Linked DNA regions of Danio rerio. The protein of the gene in region 2 binds, or shares a complex with, the protein of the main gene of each other region. Links are inferred from orthologs where the notes say so. Each region holds a gene or a part of one and is shown on either strand. Other genes may lie near its edges.

What was found.
Region 1: ppp4r4 (region 2) and smek1 share a complex: the UniProt entries of both Homo sapiens proteins name them as parts of the PP4 complex. The link is inferred for Danio rerio from reciprocal best matches to the Homo sapiens genes PPP4R4 and PPP4R3A.
Region 3: ppp4r4 (region 2) and ppp4r2b share a complex: the UniProt entries of both Homo sapiens proteins name them as parts of the PP4 complex. The link is inferred for Danio rerio from reciprocal best matches to the Homo sapiens genes PPP4R4 and PPP4R2.

What each region holds. Positions count from the first base shown.
Region 1 is NC_133195.1:36,334,426-36,338,183, forward strand, and holds the end of smek1 (serine/threonine-protein phosphatase 4 regulatory subunit 3), read right to left. Parts: coding exon 3,648-3,758; intron 1,494-3,647; coding exon 1,374-1,493; 3' UTR 102-1,373; downstream 1-101. UniProt on the Homo sapiens protein: Regulatory subunit of serine/threonine-protein phosphatase 4. May regulate the activity of PPP4C at centrosomal microtubule organizing centers.
Region 2 is NC_133195.1:30,097,653-30,101,089, reverse strand, and holds the end of ppp4r4 (serine/threonine-protein phosphatase 4 regulatory subunit 4), read right to left. Parts: intron 3,143-3,437; coding exon 3,052-3,142; intron 2,933-3,051; coding exon 2,871-2,932; intron 2,786-2,870; coding exon 2,629-2,785; intron 1,230-2,628; exon of another isoform or gene 1,095-1,229; coding exon 1,049-1,094; 3' UTR 562-1,048; downstream 1-561. UniProt on the Homo sapiens protein: Putative regulatory subunit of serine/threonine-protein phosphatase 4.
Region 3 is NC_133181.1:46,726,496-46,730,153, reverse strand, and holds part of ppp4r2b (serine/threonine-protein phosphatase 4 regulatory subunit 2-B), read right to left. Parts: intron 3,595-3,658; coding exon 3,454-3,594; intron 1,614-3,453; coding exon 1,291-1,613; intron 1,210-1,290; coding exon 887-1,209; 3' UTR 1-886. UniProt on the Homo sapiens protein: Regulatory subunit of serine/threonine-protein phosphatase 4 (PP4). May regulate the activity of PPP4C at centrosomal microtubule organizing centers.

The DNA.
Region 1 (3,758 bases), about 6.2 Mb from region 2:
TTACTTTCCATCTCCTGCATGCGTCTTATTTCTGTTGCAGGACGCCCCCTAGTGCACGATTTCTCCATCCTCATGGTTTTGAAGTACAAATGGAAACATGGTTTTTCAGAAAATAAAAACTGTTATCTTTAATTGTGTGCAGGCTGTTTAGCAGAGACACGGCTTCTCCATTGACGTATTCAGACGAGCAGACAGGAGGATCATTTCAATGACCAAATCCCAGTTCAAATAACAAAAAGATCAGCACAGTTGAACATAATACAGGGAACCAGCACAACCGGGAGAGATCTACTACAGCAAAGATCTTTTAATGGTCCCAAATATACTGAACAACTAAGAGTGTACACAAGTAAAAGAAAAGAAAAAAAAATGAAGATATGACAGAAATCAATCACATCTATAGAGTTCCACTCAATCTTTAATCAAGACGGGCTTACAAATTTTCCAAAAAATCTGCAGTTTTGAAGGGCAAAAAAAGGGTAAAACTATCTCCCCCCCACTGAGGTTTTAAAAACCTGTTCAAGTGCGGCTGAAAACGTCCTGAACATTTAAAGGCAGGTCTCTTTGTGTCATTTTAAAAAAACCAGAGAGGAGAACAACAGAATAAGAAAAAGGAGGGAACTGCTGGCTTTGAAAGAGGAAGAACTTCCGCTGAGCCACAAGAACAACAGTGACATCTTAAACAATGACGACCCAGACTTCTTTGCTCCCTATAGTGTCCCGCCTGGCCCTAGAAAGTCAAAAACAAGGGGGAAAAAAAACAACAGAAAAAAAAGCTGGAGGAAGGAGAGAAAGAAATGGAGATGGAGATCAGCAAAGGTGAGTGGTGGTTGTGGATTGGCTGGCCCAGTTCGGGTCATGTGAGGTCCTTCCCTGAGAGGGGGGGGCAGTGTGTCCTGGTCCAGGCCTGGGACGCTCTGTGGGGCAACAGTTCGAGTGTCTGTGAGTGAACGACTGACTGACGGACTGCGTGTGAGGTCTGTTTTACCCCCCAGAACTTTTAGCTTTGTCGAAATTAATTTCTTATTTTATTATAATTCTTTGTCCAGACCACAGTCCTCCATCCCTCTGTCCGCTTCACGAGTCTCTCTCTCTCTCTCTTGCAGATTGGCACTTGGACAAACTCCACGTGGAGACATTCACCTTTTGGTTCTGGGACCGAATCTTCTCCCTCTCTTGCTCTCCCTGTCCTCCGTTCCTCACATGGCGCCCCGTGGACTCCTGCGGGGGGCTGCATTCGTTCATTTATCCATTCATTTGTGTATTCATCATCATTCATTTAGTTTCAGTTTGAGTTCTAGGCTGAGCACTGGAAAAGTCTCTGGATGAAGCTCCCTTCGAGCGTGACTGTGCTGATTGAGGAGGGAGTGCTTTTAGGAGCTCAGCTTGGACTTCTTGGACAGCGGAGGACTTTCTTCTTTACTGTCTGCATCTTCCTCATCCTCGTCCTCTTCGTCATCATCAGGATAGTCCACCAGCCCCACTAAACCTCCCTGGAGGAGGACAAGCATGCAGTTAGAAATGAGTGTAAAAAGAGACAGTGGTGAGGAGTAGAGCTGCACGATATTGGACAAAAACATGACATTGCAATATTTAGTTTGTCTGCAATCTATGGTGCGATATGAATGCAATTTCACAAGATGACAAAACTATTTGGAACAAATTCATCATTTTACAGTAATTGGGATAATTTTGTAGAGGAGGATCTGCATAAAATACAATACAATTGAACTTGATGGGTTTCTGTGAAATGAAGAGAGTGTTGAGGTACAGAAATTTAATAATAAAATATAAAACAACACTGTATAGTCTTCATTGTATAATTCATTCATTTATGTTTATATACCTTTATAACCTCTTAGTTTAAGTTTGCTTAAATCTTACACGGGCATCAGTCTTACAAACGCATCCAACTGAAAATCTTTCACTAATGTTATGTGGTTAAACTTTGCGATGACCCCACAAATTAAACGTTCTGAACTGACTACTGCAGATTCACACATTGTGATAAAAATGCTGAAACGATATATTATGCACCCCTTAATGAGAAGTAACTAAGCATCAAGCATCTGATACGGTAGTTGAGACTATTTTTTGTTATGAGCCATATGATACAAATCTGAATATTACTAGACATAAATAAAAAGTTCAATAGGCATCTACTGTGACAGCATCAGAGCAGAAGTCATTAATATTGAGCACCATTCTAAACATGGAGCTTTTTATTCTAGGGATGTATTGTGGGGTAAATAAATGAGCATACAACTGGAGACTGGAGAAATGCTCACCCACTGACAAATCAGCTGATTCTTCTCAGTTAACATCTCGAAATGGTTTCCAAATCACACTTAAAGAGTCTTTGATGAACGGGACTGATCTGACTGTGTATGTTCTTGAGGCAACATTTACTAATTCAAATTGATGATTTATTATTGAAATAACTTTAAGCAACTACTGTTAGTTGTCTGCAAACTAATTGAGATTGTGATATGGTCACAATATGGGTGTACATTATTTACAGCCTATGATAATGTCATACTTGTTGTTTTAAACGTGTGAGCTGGCATTATCAATATCGTAACTCTCTTGGGAAAAGAACTCATCCAAAAAGGGTTTTTCACTGCATGCTTTTGTACTTTCACTTAAGTGAAATTGAAAGAGTGTAATTGATACTTTTACTGGATTATTATTTTATTAAGTATTGGATAATATGCTTCAAGCCAATTCAAGGAATAAGCTGATGTGGCATCATTATAGACAAAATTAGGCCTAAACAGAGTTCAATTGAAACTCAAAAAAAAAAAAAGTTTTCCAAAGAAAATGTTTTGAAAATATATCCTTTTTGGGACACCTACCAACTACCAATGCTCAGTGGAGATTGTATAGCAGGTAGGAGACTCTCAGTATTCTGTGAATTTTTCTCTGGTTCATTTCCTGTTCACAAACATTGAATAGCCGATTTACAGTAGAAAAAAAAACAACACTAACATTAACACTGGTTTAAAACTCAATCTACAGTTTAAAGTGCCATTTAAAGACACATGATGTGAGTGGACTAGACTGCAAAATTGAACATCAATATCAGCTGCTTTCTTAAGTTCTGTCATTTTTGTTTATTGGGAGGAAAAGGTGGAGCACATATTTACATAATCATTTAATACGGGATGTTTGCTAACAGAATATCACTGCTCATGTACTGCAAACCTCTTTTTATCTTTGGGGTCTTAAAAGGCCTATACCAATAGGGTGCCCAAGTCAGGGTTCTTGCATCTGTTCCAAAGTCAAATCTTAGAACTTTTCAAGCTTTTGCAGGTGCATTTTAAAACTTTTCCTAAACTTTGCCTGCAGTACACACACATTTTCTGCAAGTTTTCATTTTATGCAAAAGCAAAAAGGCTTATTTTATTTAAATAGTTAATAATTATTACATATTTAGTAAAATACAATATTGCAAAAGCAATTACATTTTTTAAGCAGTTTTAAGCACTTTATCCAAAATCTAAGCACTTTTTAAACCTTTAAAAAAACAGTAGATTAAAATTCAAGCAATTCCAGCACCTGTTAGAACCCTGCCAAATACTTTGTCTTACAATAGTAAAAAAGGAAACAACTAGAATTTTAAAGCACTTTCAATTCTTGTTAAATACCTTAGTGGTGACAGCTGCCGAAGGGGGAGAGCTCCGGGCCCCTGTCCCGGGAGAGCTAGGAGAACCAGGTGAACCGGGATGAAGGGATGCAGTCGGCGGAGAGGACAGGCT
Region 2 (3,437 bases):
GACATAATTAAAAATAAATAAATATAATGATAAATACAAAATGCACTGACCAATGGCGCTTGATTCCAGGTGGTACAGAAGGTGGCTGTGGATGTGGATGAGTCTGGAGGCTCACTGGCAGAAGCTTCCGGCAATCTCTTCATGAATCCTCTTCCTCCCAGGCTCACTTTCAACCGACCCTTCATTTTTGTTGTCTACCATGAGGTCACAAAATGCATCCTCTACATTGGACGTGTGGTCGACCCAACTAAGAACTAATTAGAGAAACTACCAATGGTGTATACAGGTGTTCTCACTCCTACATCCATTTGTTTTGCGTGAATAACCAAATATTAATAGTGTTTTAAAACAATTAATATCAGTATCAACCTTTTAACTGTTATTAACATTATACTGTGATTTAATTAACATTAAGTAGCAGCATAATATAGTCACAATCCAATGTTTGCTAGGAAATTAAATGAATAGTGTACTTAATGTCAAGTGTAACTAGTAACTTGTTTTTCTATGTGCGCTGTCAGTATTTAAAGAGCCAGTTCAAAAGCAAGTCATTAAAGCACGTCATATTCAACATGAATTTTATTCATTGGGTACTAAGATGTTGGCGTTAATCAATCAGGTGCTGGGTGGCACCAGGCACAATCTCATTGGTGGGATGGGATGGAGAGTTCCAAAACTCTTCAATCATAAAAATACATAGTGCTTCTTTTTCTCTTAGCCACTTCAAAAATATAAAACAGAGAATTTTGCAAAGCATGCTATAATACAAGAAACAAAATAATGAGGCAGTAAATTAAATACATTCAATTACTCCTCAACTCTCGGTTTCATTTTATGATGTATGGTGTGAGATTTTGATTGTTTTTTTTGTATGAAATAAGGCAGAGATGGATCAATGCAGACCTTAATTGATGCCCCAGCACATCTTAAGCCTTTTCTGGGATAGAAGAGAGAATGGACACATCAAAATGGAGGGACACTGCTGTGCTGCTGCTGCAGAATGAAAAGTCTTGTAAAAGGGGCTTTAAGTCAGAAGGCAAAGTGGTAATCACTCTCTCCCAGACTGCATTCCAAATGAATTCGACTTCCGCTGTCTGTCGAACACAAACAGAAAGACAACATAAGATCACTCTTGCTGAATCACACCCGTTCATAATAAAACAAAATTGCATTGCTAAGAAAAAAGAAATGAAAATAAATCAAAACATTGTACAAAACAATTATAAAAATGTATTATAGATCCCTTAAACCAACACCAAATCCTTTAAATGTTCATTATTATTCAGAACAGATAGAAATGTATGTAAAACAAACTGAAATTTTTTTATAATTTTCACCTTAAACTAGAATGATAAAAGCCTAAATAAATTTATTTAAAAGGAACACCTTCAAATATTTGGGCCACTGGAAGTTGAAAAAAATTGTATGCAAAAAAATGTGTAAGTAAGGTTTTGATTCAGCTCTGCATGCGCACAATGAAATAATATAAATATATATATATATATATATATATATATATATATATATATATATATATAAACGTGTCTGAACAGAATAAAATCATTGTGATAAATGAATAAATAATAATAATAAATAAAGTACTTTGACCTGTAAAATGCCTCTTGTTTTCTCTCAATAGTATGTAATTAATAAATTCACAGTATATTCACGTGATTGCTTAAATAGCCATAGAACTTAACTGTCAAATGTAAAAATGTACATTATATCTTGTGGCAGTTGCCTTAATAATCCAGTAGGCTCAAAAGGGAGCATGTTTGCCCTCAGTTTCAATATCTATATGACATCTATGAACACTACAATTGGAATTCTGCAAGGCTATATAAGCTGTTCCTTTGTTTTTACTATAGGCATAATGACTTGATTCAGATAAGAAATATAATATTGTTTAAAATATGAAGTAATGATGTACTTGTTGTATAGATACACTCATTTGACAATGTGTGCAGATTTTGCAAATGCTTTGCATCCTTGGAGTGAGGTGCAGCATGTTTTAAATAATGAAATAATGAGTTGTATACAGCCGAATACGGCACTTAGATAATAACCCAGGAAGCAAAGAATTCTGGCTGAGATTTAGCATAAAGCTGGCACAGCAGGCATTCAGACCAAACATGGCCCAGGTTTGACAGCAGTCAGGCACCGTCTTTAAGGCGGCACACAATATTTGGGCCAGATGTCAAATGTAGTATTTGGCCCAGATGTTATAATTTGATATGTGGGCCATGTGAGTTTGGCCTATCTTGACCCACATTTAAATTCTTATTTTAAAAAAAAACAAAAAAACAATCAGGTCTCTGCAAGAAAAAGCATGCCCATAGCATGTCTAAAGTGCAATGCTTTATGGATTTATCAATTTCATTGCAGTCGTGACACACCAACATATCTGGCCTAGTTCAGGGTTAGGGATTGTTAATTTGGCTGAGATATGGTCCATGTTTGGCCCTTGTCTGGAAGCCAGACTTGGTCCAGTCATGTACCGTAATTTACTGCAGCATGTGGGCCAAGTAAAAGCTGATTGTGTGGGTCAGAGCTGGGCCAGAGATATTTTGCTAGGTGGGGAGTGGCTGATTAAAAATGGGAGTTTATCAGTCAATTTGAGAAACATACACAGAAAGTTTCCTAGACTGTGTGTCTTTATTCCCGTTACTCCGGTGATCCACAGAGCTGCTGGTGTTGCTGCGGATCAGAACAGGCATGGACGAGGACGATGGGGTGGAGGAGATTGAAGAAGCAACATTAAAGTGGTGGGGTCGCAGGTTATCATCTGGAAAGCAAACAAGTACATAAGTACATGTAAACAACAATATAATATAACAATATAATTCACGAAGAACAATCTCATTAGTTACCATTTAAAGGTAGCATAGGACTCTTTCCTGATCCAGGGCAACTTCCTGAATCTTTCAGTTTTCTAAAGAAAAAATTGTGAGTGTAAATGTTGAAGTACTAGCGATGATGGGTCACAGGTCATGGGTCAAAGAACCAACTGCAGTAGCAACATAAGAAAGCTTAGGGGATTTTGTTACGTACAAGGTTTTGTCTGAGTTTGTCATCTTGGGTGTTGTGGGATGGCCACTGAGAGAACGACTGCGAGCTAGTTTAGCCCTCCGCATCTCCTTCCCTAGAAACAGCAGCAATGTGGAGATGATAAGCACCGGACCATTACAAAACTTTAAGAAAATGTTTAACATTTTTATGTCACTGGAAATTTATCAAACTAATAACAAAAACAATAATAACAAAACGATTACATAAGTAGCTTTCTGCTACACGCTACAGATTTTTTTGTTCACAAAAGTTAAACAGTATTTCTGTGAAATATTTTTATTGTAAAAAATATTTTTAATGTTTTACTATTTTGTTAGTTTTCAAAATGGAATATTCAGCATTTCCGAAAATATAATAAAATGTTATAA
Region 3 (3,658 bases), on a different chromosome or scaffold from region 2:
AGGAATGACACTGAGCTAGTCGGAGCGGTCAATAACCACCCGCCGGAACAACGAAAACAACTTCTCATAAAATAGGAGATTGAAATGCTGTTATAAATTAATGCGAATCATCAAATCAGTCTGAACAAGAGGTAAATGTACCTGACATAAACCACTCACTTTCAATGCAGCGGAAAGACCGCATGATTACACTAAAGCGAAGAAAGTTTACATCCCGTCAGTTACACACAAACGAGCAGAAGGAAAGAAGTGTTACGCTAGGCTCGAATCATTTCACAGAACAAAAGATTGCTATGGCTTGTATTTGCTTGGAACGTAACTTGAACAGTGGCCAGTTTATGCGTCTTCAGGCGGTAAACTCCACTGGCCTGATGCTTGACACTGTGTGCCTAAAATATTAATACACAAAGGAGACACGTCCTCGTTTTAGAACAAGACTGGATAGATTAGACCTTTTGAACCAAGACTAAAATATTAAAAGAAAAAGTCCAGGTTAAATAAAACTAAAGGTTTGCAGGGGGAAGAGACTTCTTACAAACTTGTATTTAACCATGGATATTTATGCAATTAGCTGATGACAGTAAGACACCTAAAAAACTTGAGTCCCTATGATGAAACAGATTGGCAAAAACCCCATGACGTCAAATTAAGGAAAGAAATTTAGACAGCTTAAAACCTTCACTTCAGCAATAAAATCATATGTACATCTGCATAAAGTGTCCGTTTGGGAAGTTTGGAGAAGTTAGGTGGACTCTCGACCAGAAAGGCGCATGGCGGTAGGTTGGGTGTTGCTTGGGATGACCTTTGTGGAAGGCCACTTGAGTGTGTGTGTCGTCTTAATCTCCACAAAAGCACATTGTTGTTTGGGGTAGGAGTGTGCAGGCTCTTAGTCTTGCTCCATGGGCTCCTCTGCGCTCTCCAAGTCCAGTGCCCCTGACCCAGTGTCGCCCTCTGTTGGAGAGTCTATGCTACTGCTGCTGGATGTGGGTCCAGAGGCATTGTCGTCAGTGCTACTGCTGCTGACCTCACTTGGCTCCTCTCCTTCTCTCAGCTCAGGGCTCGAGGCCACGCCTGCTGGTGCTCTCTGCTCTGATTGGTCCATATCGCTGGGCTCTTCTGAAGAGTCATCTGAACCACAGGGAACCTCTCTCTCTGTAAACGTCTCTCTGGAATCTGCCACAGGACACTCGGGTTGTGTGCTGGAAGGCTCTGTGTTAAAAAAGAAAAAGAAATGCATTATAGAAAGAATAATGAGCTATTTATAACAAGAAATAATTTGAACTATGCCACCTTGGTCTTCAGAGTTTTCAGCCGAGCCTTCATGTTTACTTTCCTCCTCTTCTTCTTCACTCCCTTCCTGCAACATGGATGACGGTGATTCAGGGTCCTCTGACTTATCTGAGGGGCTTTTGCTCAGTGTGGATCTGGGGGTCTCCACAACCTGCTCGTCCACATCATCTTCGTCCTCCTCATCTTCGTTGCCATCCTGGCTGAATTTGAGTCTTTTAACTTCGTGTTCCTCCTCCTCCATTCCCTCATCTTCCTCGTCATCCAAGTGTTTGTTTTTTACAGAGCTGCCAAGTGGTCCACCAATGCCTGACGCAGATGCATCACTGCAACAAAAAGAATGAAAAAAATGGCCATTTCTATATATTTATTTTTGCTGAAGGTCAGCAGAGTTAATTATTTACCACGTTAAAAGATAAAACATGTTTATTGATTAAACTATCAGCACATTACACACACAAGATGATTATTTGAAATGATTCATTTGTCTCTTTAATACTTTATCTCACTGGATTTAACTTGTTAACAAAGGTTCAACAGTGGATCCACACCTCACTTCTTCTTAACCTCTAGACCTCTAGTTTAGAGGTTTTCAACGTTTTAGGACACACGTCCCCCCACATTTAGACAATTTCACTTGCACACCCCCTCCAAAATTATAATTCACGTGCAAACACCATTCACATATTACTTGCTGCATTTAAAGTGTGTAGCATTAATCACGTTGAAACATAAATGTATAGCTCAACTGATTCAGTGTGATGGCTGAGCCTGTTTCTCTGAGGACAACATGGTTGGATTCCTGACACGACTAACCATCAATCATCTTCCACTGTCAATAAGTGTGAGCCATACCATACTTGCTTTTGATGTACGTACATACGGAAAATGCTGCTTCCCAAAACCAAGTTCGCAGAGCCCCGACGGTGTGGTTGAGTTGAACATTGTTTACATGGACACCAATACTTTAATAGATTTTAATACACTTAAGAAAATACTCCGATTAAGAGTCTACCATGTAAACAATGATTTAGGATCACCTTAATCTGACTAAACTCGTAACTGAACCAAATAGAAATAGAATCAAGACATGGAGTATGCATATAATAGTGGAAATACAGAAGTAAACACTGCAATCAAACTATTACCGTCATGTAGGACTTTGCCATATTTTTAACAAGATACACACGTGGCGGTCCGTAAATGACTGCACACAAACACACACATCGCAAAATGCTGAGGTTTTTTTCTTTCCATTTGGCGTGCATCATTAACCCTTTGATGCACTACATTATTTTTCTATATCTATTTTATAGCTTCTGCATCTAAGGGTTAAATTCCATAACACTCTCACCAGTCCTTACTCCTTATTTACGTCTAATACCCCAGTTTGTCATGGGGGCATGACTGAAATGTTCATGATTTAAAGTGAAACTCTTACATTGAAGCACTTTACGCAAACACCTTAATTATATTACCGTCTATTAAGGCAAATAACTAGATTACAGATGTCCATGTAAATGTAGTCAGTAGTGTCGTTAAAGTTAGTGAAAGGTCCAGAAGAGCATCCAGCTGATTTTGTTTGACGGTTCATCGGTATTACTTTCATTCACTGTCATTCATTTTAAAAAGCAACCGGTCCATTATATTTGTATAGATTTTACTCTAATGCATAAACTCTACAGGTGCCTGACAGTTAGATGTGGAGCTAACATTAATCAGATTCACTCTAATGAACACACAAAACTTGTCATCATTATTTACTCAAGAGCATGCCTCAATGTCTTGTGCCACCCACAGATTAAAAAACCCAGCTCTAGCACTGTTCTTCTGGTTTTTCTGAACCCACCCTCCCTCCTTCCCTCTATTTCCTTACTTCCCATTAACAATCCTATGATCCTCTTTTCCCTCCTAGGTTGAATTTGGGGGTCCAATCACTCTACCAAAACATTACAGAGACGGTACCCCCACTATTAGTCTCAGGGCATCTTTGTAGGATGCTCCATCAACCTACCGACCTATTCACCGTTTATCTTCTTACTTCCTCTTCATCCCACTGTTCCCCTACCATCCCTTTCATCCTTTCAACAAAGTCTAGCTCAAAAGTGTGTCATGGTCCATGCAGGTGAAAAGTGCATGAAAGATGAGCTGAAATATGATGTCTACCTGGTCGTTTTGCTGTGTCCCTGGGGTGTGTTTGTGTCTTTGTTTTCAGTACTGTCCGGAAGGCCATTTGTGGCCAGCGAACTGGACATGGAGTGTTTCTGTCTGTTTAATGGTCTGGGTGTTCCTGGACCGTTCACTTTCCTGAAATATACAGTGCAATATATAGAGCATATATTTTTTAAAATGACTATCTTAGGCTTCATAT